Linked DNA regions of Danio rerio. The protein of the gene in region 2 purifies or fractionates together with the protein of the main gene of each other region. This does not show direct contact. Links are inferred from orthologs where the notes say so. Each region holds a gene or a part of one and is shown on either strand. Other genes may lie near its edges.

What was found. The genes of interacting proteins can lie anywhere in the genome.
Region 1: the proteins of cop1 (region 2) and det1 purify together in Homo sapiens (affinity purification with western blotting; 11 studies listed by BioGRID and IntAct, counting the BioPlex papers as one, with this or other methods). This does not show direct contact. The link is inferred for Danio rerio from reciprocal best matches to the Homo sapiens genes COP1 and DET1.

The regions. Positions count from the first base shown.
Region 1 is NC_133200.1:13,239,849-13,243,348, forward strand, and holds part of det1 (DET1 homolog), read right to left. Parts: intron 2,838-3,500; 5' UTR 2,822-2,837; coding exon 2,057-2,821; intron 1-2,056. UniProt on the Homo sapiens protein: Component of the E3 ubiquitin ligase DCX DET1-COP1 complex, which is required for ubiquitination and subsequent degradation of target proteins. The complex is involved in JUN ubiquitination and degradation.
Region 2 is NC_133177.1:38,090,524-38,094,759, reverse strand, and holds the start of cop1 (E3 ubiquitin-protein ligase COP1), read right to left. Parts: upstream 2,801-4,236; 5' UTR 2,501-2,800; coding exon 2,208-2,500; intron 1,384-2,207; coding exon 1,324-1,383; intron 1,216-1,323; coding exon 1,118-1,215; intron 983-1,117; coding exon 918-982; intron 809-917; coding exon 689-808; intron 1-688. UniProt on the Homo sapiens protein: E3 ubiquitin-protein ligase that mediates ubiquitination and subsequent proteasomal degradation of target proteins.

The DNA of each region.
Region 1 (3,500 bases), on a different chromosome or scaffold from region 2:
AAATATTATAATAATATTATTGGACAAAATGTTACAACTAAACAAAATTAGTCAAAATATTTCAAGATTTTACAGGGAATTTTTTTTTTTTTTGCATTTTTCATATTTATCTTTAACCCCCAAATTATACAAATATCAAATGACAAATGTTCCTACAAGTGATAGTTCTTCTAGTTAAATTAAAATTATTCATGCAACTTAAAAATAATATTTCCCGATCTCTCTCTCCCTCTTTATTTTGTTGTTAATATTGCAATTTGCATTTGTATGACAGCGAAGTAAAAAAAAAAGTCCATGTGTAAATACAAGTATAAAAAGTAGAGCTGTGCAAATAATTAAAATCATAACAAAATTGCAATTTAAACTTGCACAATTTCTAAATCGCCTTACAGGACTATTTTTTTGCTCACTCCAGTCCCGATTGATACATCTCCCACAGTTTGCTATTTGAACCAATCATAACACAGGGTTCTTAAGCAGAGCGTGAGAATGGGAGACTGAGCTTAATGTCAAATAGTCTGAATAAACAGGGATGATGAGTTCATTACAGGAGGACTTGGTGCTCAAAAAAGTCAATTACTTTGGATTACTTTGGATACAGGAAGGCTGATGTATCGCAGATAGGCATGAGACAATAACCGTTATAAGGTATACCACGGGTGGGAAAATTCAATGTTTTAAAACCACCAAAATTTTCTGCTATACTGTTCCTATGGTATATGTAAGATTTTTTTTATTTACATTATTTTGTTTGTTTGTTTGTTAGGACAACAGTATCTCCAGCAGAAAAGATATCCAAACATGCCATTTTAAATAAATCTGTAAAGTAAAGAAATCTGTGTTTTAGAAACTAAAGAAAACAGCAGAACTCAATGATTCTTTTTCATTGTTCAGCCTGACACGTTTACTGCTCCAAAATATTTTAAATGTTTCTCAAAATGAAATGTATTGTGTTCAAAGGGTGAAAAGGTTTTTTTTTTTTTTTTTTTTTTTTTTACCCAGACATCTAAAAGGAATATATTTTAGAGCAGTAATCACAATACAGTGAAACCAAGATATTTTTATCCAAGGCTAAAATAACGTCAGAATCTTATACCAGCCTATGCCTAATCGCAGAACCAGGCAATTTGTAAGATCTGTCAGTCCCGATCATGTCTAAAAGCATGTGGAAATCTCTGCATTTTCAACATGATTTGCGCACGCACTCCTTTGTCGTATATAATTGCTATGCGATCATCAACCATTTTCTCAGAGAATGACAAACAAACAAAACTTTGCTGCAGCTCTGATACAAGTTTTACAAATTTATGAAGAAAATTGAAAAGCACTGAAGTGTTTGGGTGCTCTGTGTTTGTCTGCGCTAGCTAATTAGTCTACTTAAATGTGTATATTCTATATGAATTATAAAGTTGATCAGTCATTTCTTGTTAACTTATATGACTCGCGGTGTGGCATTCTGAACAGTTTAGATGTTTTTATCTTGGTGAGCCTGGAATACACGAGCACTTCGCTCCCAATAGGTGCGCAATTCGCACGCCTCCATTGAAGATAACAAACTTGTGCATGCAAAAGACACAATATGTGAACGGCCTATTTCACAGCAGCGTCTATGATCTATGCAAGGCAAAAAATAAAAATAACAAATCTGTGAAAACGTAGAAAAGTACTCACAACTAATTCTGATATGTGGTCAAGTATAACATTGGAGACTTACTTGAGTACGCACACACAGTAGCCTATTTGTTTCACCATGTTGTCTGTTCTAGAGACAATTTGTTATACCTTTACTAGGTTATATTCATTTTTTGTATGTCTTATGTCTGTTTTAGAGTGTTACAGGTCTTTGATAAAGATCTAATTGTTTTCCTTTAGTAATATGTATCAGAAACAAAATTATGATTAAAATCGAAATCGCAATATTGTTCTAGAAAATCTTGATAGGTTTCTTTTGCCCATATCGCACAGCCCTAATAAAAAGTATTTAAAAAGACTGATTTTTTTTTTAACTCAGTTAAGTCTTTTCTAGTTATGTCTCCTAATTTTTTCCAACTCTCACCTGAAACACATGTATCGTCTGTTGCTGCACAGAAAGCACGGCCAGAATATTGCTGTACAGGTACAGTCCTTGGTTGTGCGATAGAATGATTTTGTCACACTTAAAGGTGCGTGTATCACACAGCCGTCCCGTGTGCAAGTCTATGATGTGCAGAGAATAGTCCTCCAGAGGAGATCTTGGATTGGGAGTCACTGATTCATTATTTCTATACACCTCAAAAAAGTGCGGATGAGGTTCTTCAGGTAAATAAGCAGCCGAGCCGACGATCACATAACGACAGTCGTCAGTAAAAAGACTACATTCTCTGTTCAAGTGCTCGCCGTTGGAGGCCACATTAGTGACGTGAAGTAGAGAGAAAAAGCGTTCGAAGAGGTGACCTCTGATGTTGAAGGAACGCTGGTCATTTCCGTTGGCCAGAGTTTCTCCCTCTTGACCCTGGAGAAGGTCTTCGGCGGCTTGGCATCCTTGGTATTCGTAGATCTCCAAGGAAGTTTGATCGGAAGAGAACGCAATGAAGCATCGTCCGTCAGGAGAGAACTTGCGGAGGAAGCAGGGCGGCTTCTCTACGTTCACTACTGTAAAGTTGGGAAACAGGTTTTGGTGGAAGCAGCGCACGCGGTACCAGTGAGCACCGACCGGGCCAGAGCAGATCCGACGCCTTTCTAGCCGGTGGACCACATTCTGGTTTTGGATGCGTCTTGGTTTGAGAGTGGGGAAATCGTCTTCTGATGTGTTGTGGTGGTGGAGGTGGTGGTGAGCAGCCATAATAACAGCTTTATCACTGCAAAAAAAAAAAAGACTTTTAAGATAAGGATTTAAAAAGATTATGCCAACTTTAAGATAACTTCAAAAACAACAAACACTTGATACACAAATAAACTTCTTTGTAAATGCATAATTATATTATTTTTATATTATATATAATATTTTCAGCAAATGAATTGGATTTGTGTATTTCCGAATCTCGTTTTGGAAGTTACGAATTGGATTTGTGTATTTATGAATCATGTTTTGAATTTAAAACAACTCTAACTTTTCTGATTTTGACAAATGTAATGTGAATCTTTTGTGAAGCTGCTTTGTATCGATAATTATTGTAAAAAAAAAAAAAAGAAAAAAAAAGCACTATACAAGTAAACTTGACTTGAATTAAAATTTTTAAAAAAAGAAAATAAAGTCATAAATGTGTTAATTGGGTAGCAGACAGATATAGAAGCTTATTTCTCCTATAAGAGAAAAAAAGAGAGGTAATTGAGCAATTCCAGTGTCATGGATGTGATATTTGCAGTAAAAGTTAAAACATAAATTCCCAGAAAAAGTACATGTTAACATTATATTTAAACAACTGTTCATATTTTCCAAAACCACAAAGCACAAAGTAATGGGATCAGAAAAACCTCAGTATATAAACGTTTTTTATATTTTATATGAGGAAAATAAACCT
Region 2 (4,236 bases):
AAAATAGGTGGATGGAAACATAGCTATTGTCTTGTCAAGAAGATCTGTGAGGTCACAAAGTAAAAACACATTGCATGCCATGTAAAAAAAAACTACTGTAAAAAAAAAACAAAAAAACAACTAAAATATTGCACTTTACTTGTTTTAAATGCTGCTAAGAAGACATCTTAGAAGATGGGTTAAGTTCAAACCGAACCATGCCACCATTGTGCTCTATCAAACTGAGCTGTAAATTTTGAGACCATTACACCACTATTACTTTGTGTGTCATTTTCCACAAGTAAACCAATCCAGACCTTGATTTTAAGTGGGTTGAGACTGCAATTCCTGCAATTGCAGGCTGACTGTTCTAGTTTGGATCAGTGCAGTGATAGCAATGTTCACAACTTCCTAAACAAACCAAGCTAAGCGAGAAAAGCACACTTGTAACATTTTAACAGTTTTACATGGGATTTATTTAAAGATTCATTTACAAGCCATGTGCCCTAAAAATGTGATAAAATACCTGAAGTGATATTTACATTAATTTGGACTCTGTAGAAACCCAACTTTAGTGTCTAAATACCACATGCAGCTGTTTTTTGGCCATTTTCAGCTTTTATTTGAGTGAAATGTTCACATAAGATGACTTTTCCCAAGGAACCCTGAAGTGTTACAATAATGTAATATATTTAAAACGTATACCAACCGCCTCCAGTTGTTTCTTTTTTTGCAGCAGGTACTCTAATATGTAGTTGACATTTGCTAAATCCATATTCTCTTGATCAGCCCCAAGAACATCCTGGAAAACTTGCCATTTGGTTCCATTCTATGAAAAGCAGATGAAACAGGACATTTCAATGCTCTTCAATCAGTAATAGTTGAAATTAAATTTGTTTGAATAATTTCTAGTTCTCATATAAAAAATGAGATCTTACAGGGTGATCCCGTTTTAGACGCTTCTCCTCAGATCTCTGTTTTTGTTTCAAGATTAGTTCATTCACTGTAAAAACAACAGAATGAAGTCAGTACTCAAGAAATCAATCAAATGTCATGTTTGATATCTTTCAGAAACTTATACAGTAGGTGGTGGCAATAAACAAAATACAACAGATGACATGCATCAACATTTACATACCTAAGAAGTTGGGGTAAAGTTGATCCACATTGTCAATTATGTAATTACATTTTGGGCATCTGTTGCTGTCCTCCAAACTCTGTCGTATACATTTATAACTAAACAGATATACAGAAAAAATGTTTGATCAAAGCCTGTAAATGGGCATGAAATGCAATGTAAATTGCAAGGTTAACCTCTCAGTTTAGAGAACAAAGGCTTCTCACCAGAAACTGTGGCCACACTTTGTCATGTGAGCTTCCTCTATCATCTCAAAACATATAGGGCTGTTAAGAAAGAAAAAAAAAAAGAAAAAATAATGAAATTACATGCACAAGACTTGCTTCCCTTTTTTCAATGCAATACTGAAGACTACAAGGTTGTTATTGTATTTAGTACACTGACCACCGGAGACCAATAATCTTTTTAGGAACATTTGATTATTAGCATAACTTGAGTGCAAAATAAAGGCAAATGTGTGTTGTTGGCATCCACATCAAATTAAACTGCAAACAGATGTGTAATGCTTACAAACATCATATTAGAGGAAAGTAAAACAACTTAAAAATTAAATCTGGTTGAATTTGTTTCATCGTCATTCAGTAGAACAGATAAACTACTATAAAACAAAATATTTCAAATAACTAAAACCATCCATAGGTCAACTGAGACTCTAAATATGCTTGCCAAGATTCTTGTTAATTTCTATATATTTCTAGTTATATAATCTAATGTTACAAGAAACAACACTACATTTTCAATGTTCTGTGTATGTCAACAGTTCTTAAAATAATATGATTTTCTTCTGTGGGATTGACAATACAAACTGACAATATAGAGCTGTCACACTCAAACATTGTGTATAATGTTTTCTTCGAAAAAGTTTGAAAGCTGATGACAGACTGTTCATTTAAAGGGAAACTATCCCTTTAACTCCCTGTTGACAATTATCAATTAGCCTTACTCGCGGTATTAAAGGATTAAGCACGAACCAAATAGCAGAATTTGCCAGGTACACCTGCAATTAAGCCCACATGTGGTTCAAAACAAACATACTACCACTTCATTATCGAGTGAATTTAGCCATGTGAGGGAATGTGAATGCACTTACCATACAAAATCATTACTCTTGTCTTCATAGGGATTGATAAGACCGTTATACAAGGGTCTTTTCCTGCTTAAAGAGCCCAGACGAGCGCTCTGTCCGTCGGCTACCGAGCCCAGAGTCCTCGAGGACACCCCGTTACCCGAGCTGCTCCCGTTCTGAGCGGCGCTGTTCCCACTGTTTGCTCCGCCGGTGCCGCCGCTGCTGCTGAGGCTACACAAACTCCCGGAGCTTGTCCCAGGGACGGAACCCGCTGCACCACCGGACTGCTGCTGTTGCTGCTGCCGAGTGCTTGACATAATTGAAGCCGTTCGTGCACGTCGGAAGGCCAGAGCTGAAGCTAAATTTGCGGAGCTTCACCGCATCCGGGCGGCTGTGGGAGATACGCTAACTAGCTAAAGCAACACCAATAAGAGAAAAGAGGCAGGAACTTCCACCGAGCGCGCTGCTAGGACTGAAAGGCGCAAATTTCTTCACAAGTGAGGTGCTTTTTCTGCATGCAGAAGGCTCGCATTTAGGTCTGCTCGATGCTAATGTAGATATGCAACTCCGCAGAGATTTGTTGACAACTATGAGAGCTTTAGAAATTTCAGTCCACTGTCTGCAGGATGTTCACGCGAGAACTTCCCCGAGAGGAAACGCTCGTGTGGCTCAGGGTTCAGCGGCATCTACTGGCCTGGAGAAAAACTGTAAACACTCAAAACTATTCAGGACAGCTACTCGTCGATTTGACAATCTTCCAAAAACATACAAGTACTATGAGCATCCCCATATTATGAAGCAACGAACGTTCTCAAACACATCGTCTTTGATGTTTACGGTATGGCTGCATGCATGTAATTTATATCGTAAGGAGCAAAAGTATTTTTTTTAAAGGCCTGTATGTAGCCTAATTCTATTCCTAAAATAGGCCTATGGCATTTAAAATATTATAATATAAAACTATTACTCTCGAATAGACATGGGCTGGTATACGATTATGACGGTATGATAACTTTGGATAAAAATATCATGGGATTGCTGCTGTAAAATGTATTAATTTTAAATGCATGGGTAAAAAACAACAGCCCCCAATTTAAAGAGGCATCTTTGGATTTCTTTTCTTTTGGAGACCATGTTGTCCTAAAACACACACACACACACACACACACACACACACAAAAAAACGTAAATAAAAAATCTTACACATACCTTTGGAACGGTATAGTAGAAATTTTTGGCGGTTTTCTCGTCCCATGTCTACTCGGTTTCTGCCCTAACTTACAGGTTAGGCATATTTTAAAGTTAGCCTAACGTTAATTTTAAACACAATTTTACAACTTGTCACATTTGCTTTGCATTTTCTTAAAATGAAATAGGAATGACAAAAAAGAAAGACATTAATGCTTTTGAACTGAATTATGGATAATTAGTTTCTGCTCCAAAGACTTTTGATGTTGAAAAACAAGTAAAAAAACAACAGCAACCTTTACTTTTATTGATATTTCTAATTTGAACGAAGATATTGTGATAGCTTATCATATAAACTGCAGTACAAAAACTGAGTAATGAGGTGGCAGTATCTTCTGTTATTTTACACCTTTAAATTTTTTTAACAGTACATAAGATTTATGATGGTGTTACGGATCACAAATCTCATGGTTTGGTCACAGATCGGATCATTTTTCGGACCAGCAAAAAAGGAAAGAAACAAATGTCATTTGCTTTCCACTCATACAAAAATATTACTGCAAAATCCATTGGCTTTAACAAACAGAACTTAGAACTTGTAATTTTAATAAAAATAAAAATCAAGAAAAAAACAGCTAAAAAACTTCTTGTACAACATATCGTATTTATTTTCAATTAATGATTCCACAATTCACACATAAAACTTAATGTTTATGTTTCGTTTTTGGATTATCATTTTTGAAAACCAATTCAGTGACATCATTTTGATGATTGTTTATCGCCACCCATTGGTTACACAGTGTAATTGCTACAACATTCACCAGTTCTATCAACAATCACTCAAGTTCTATTAAGCAGTGCTTTT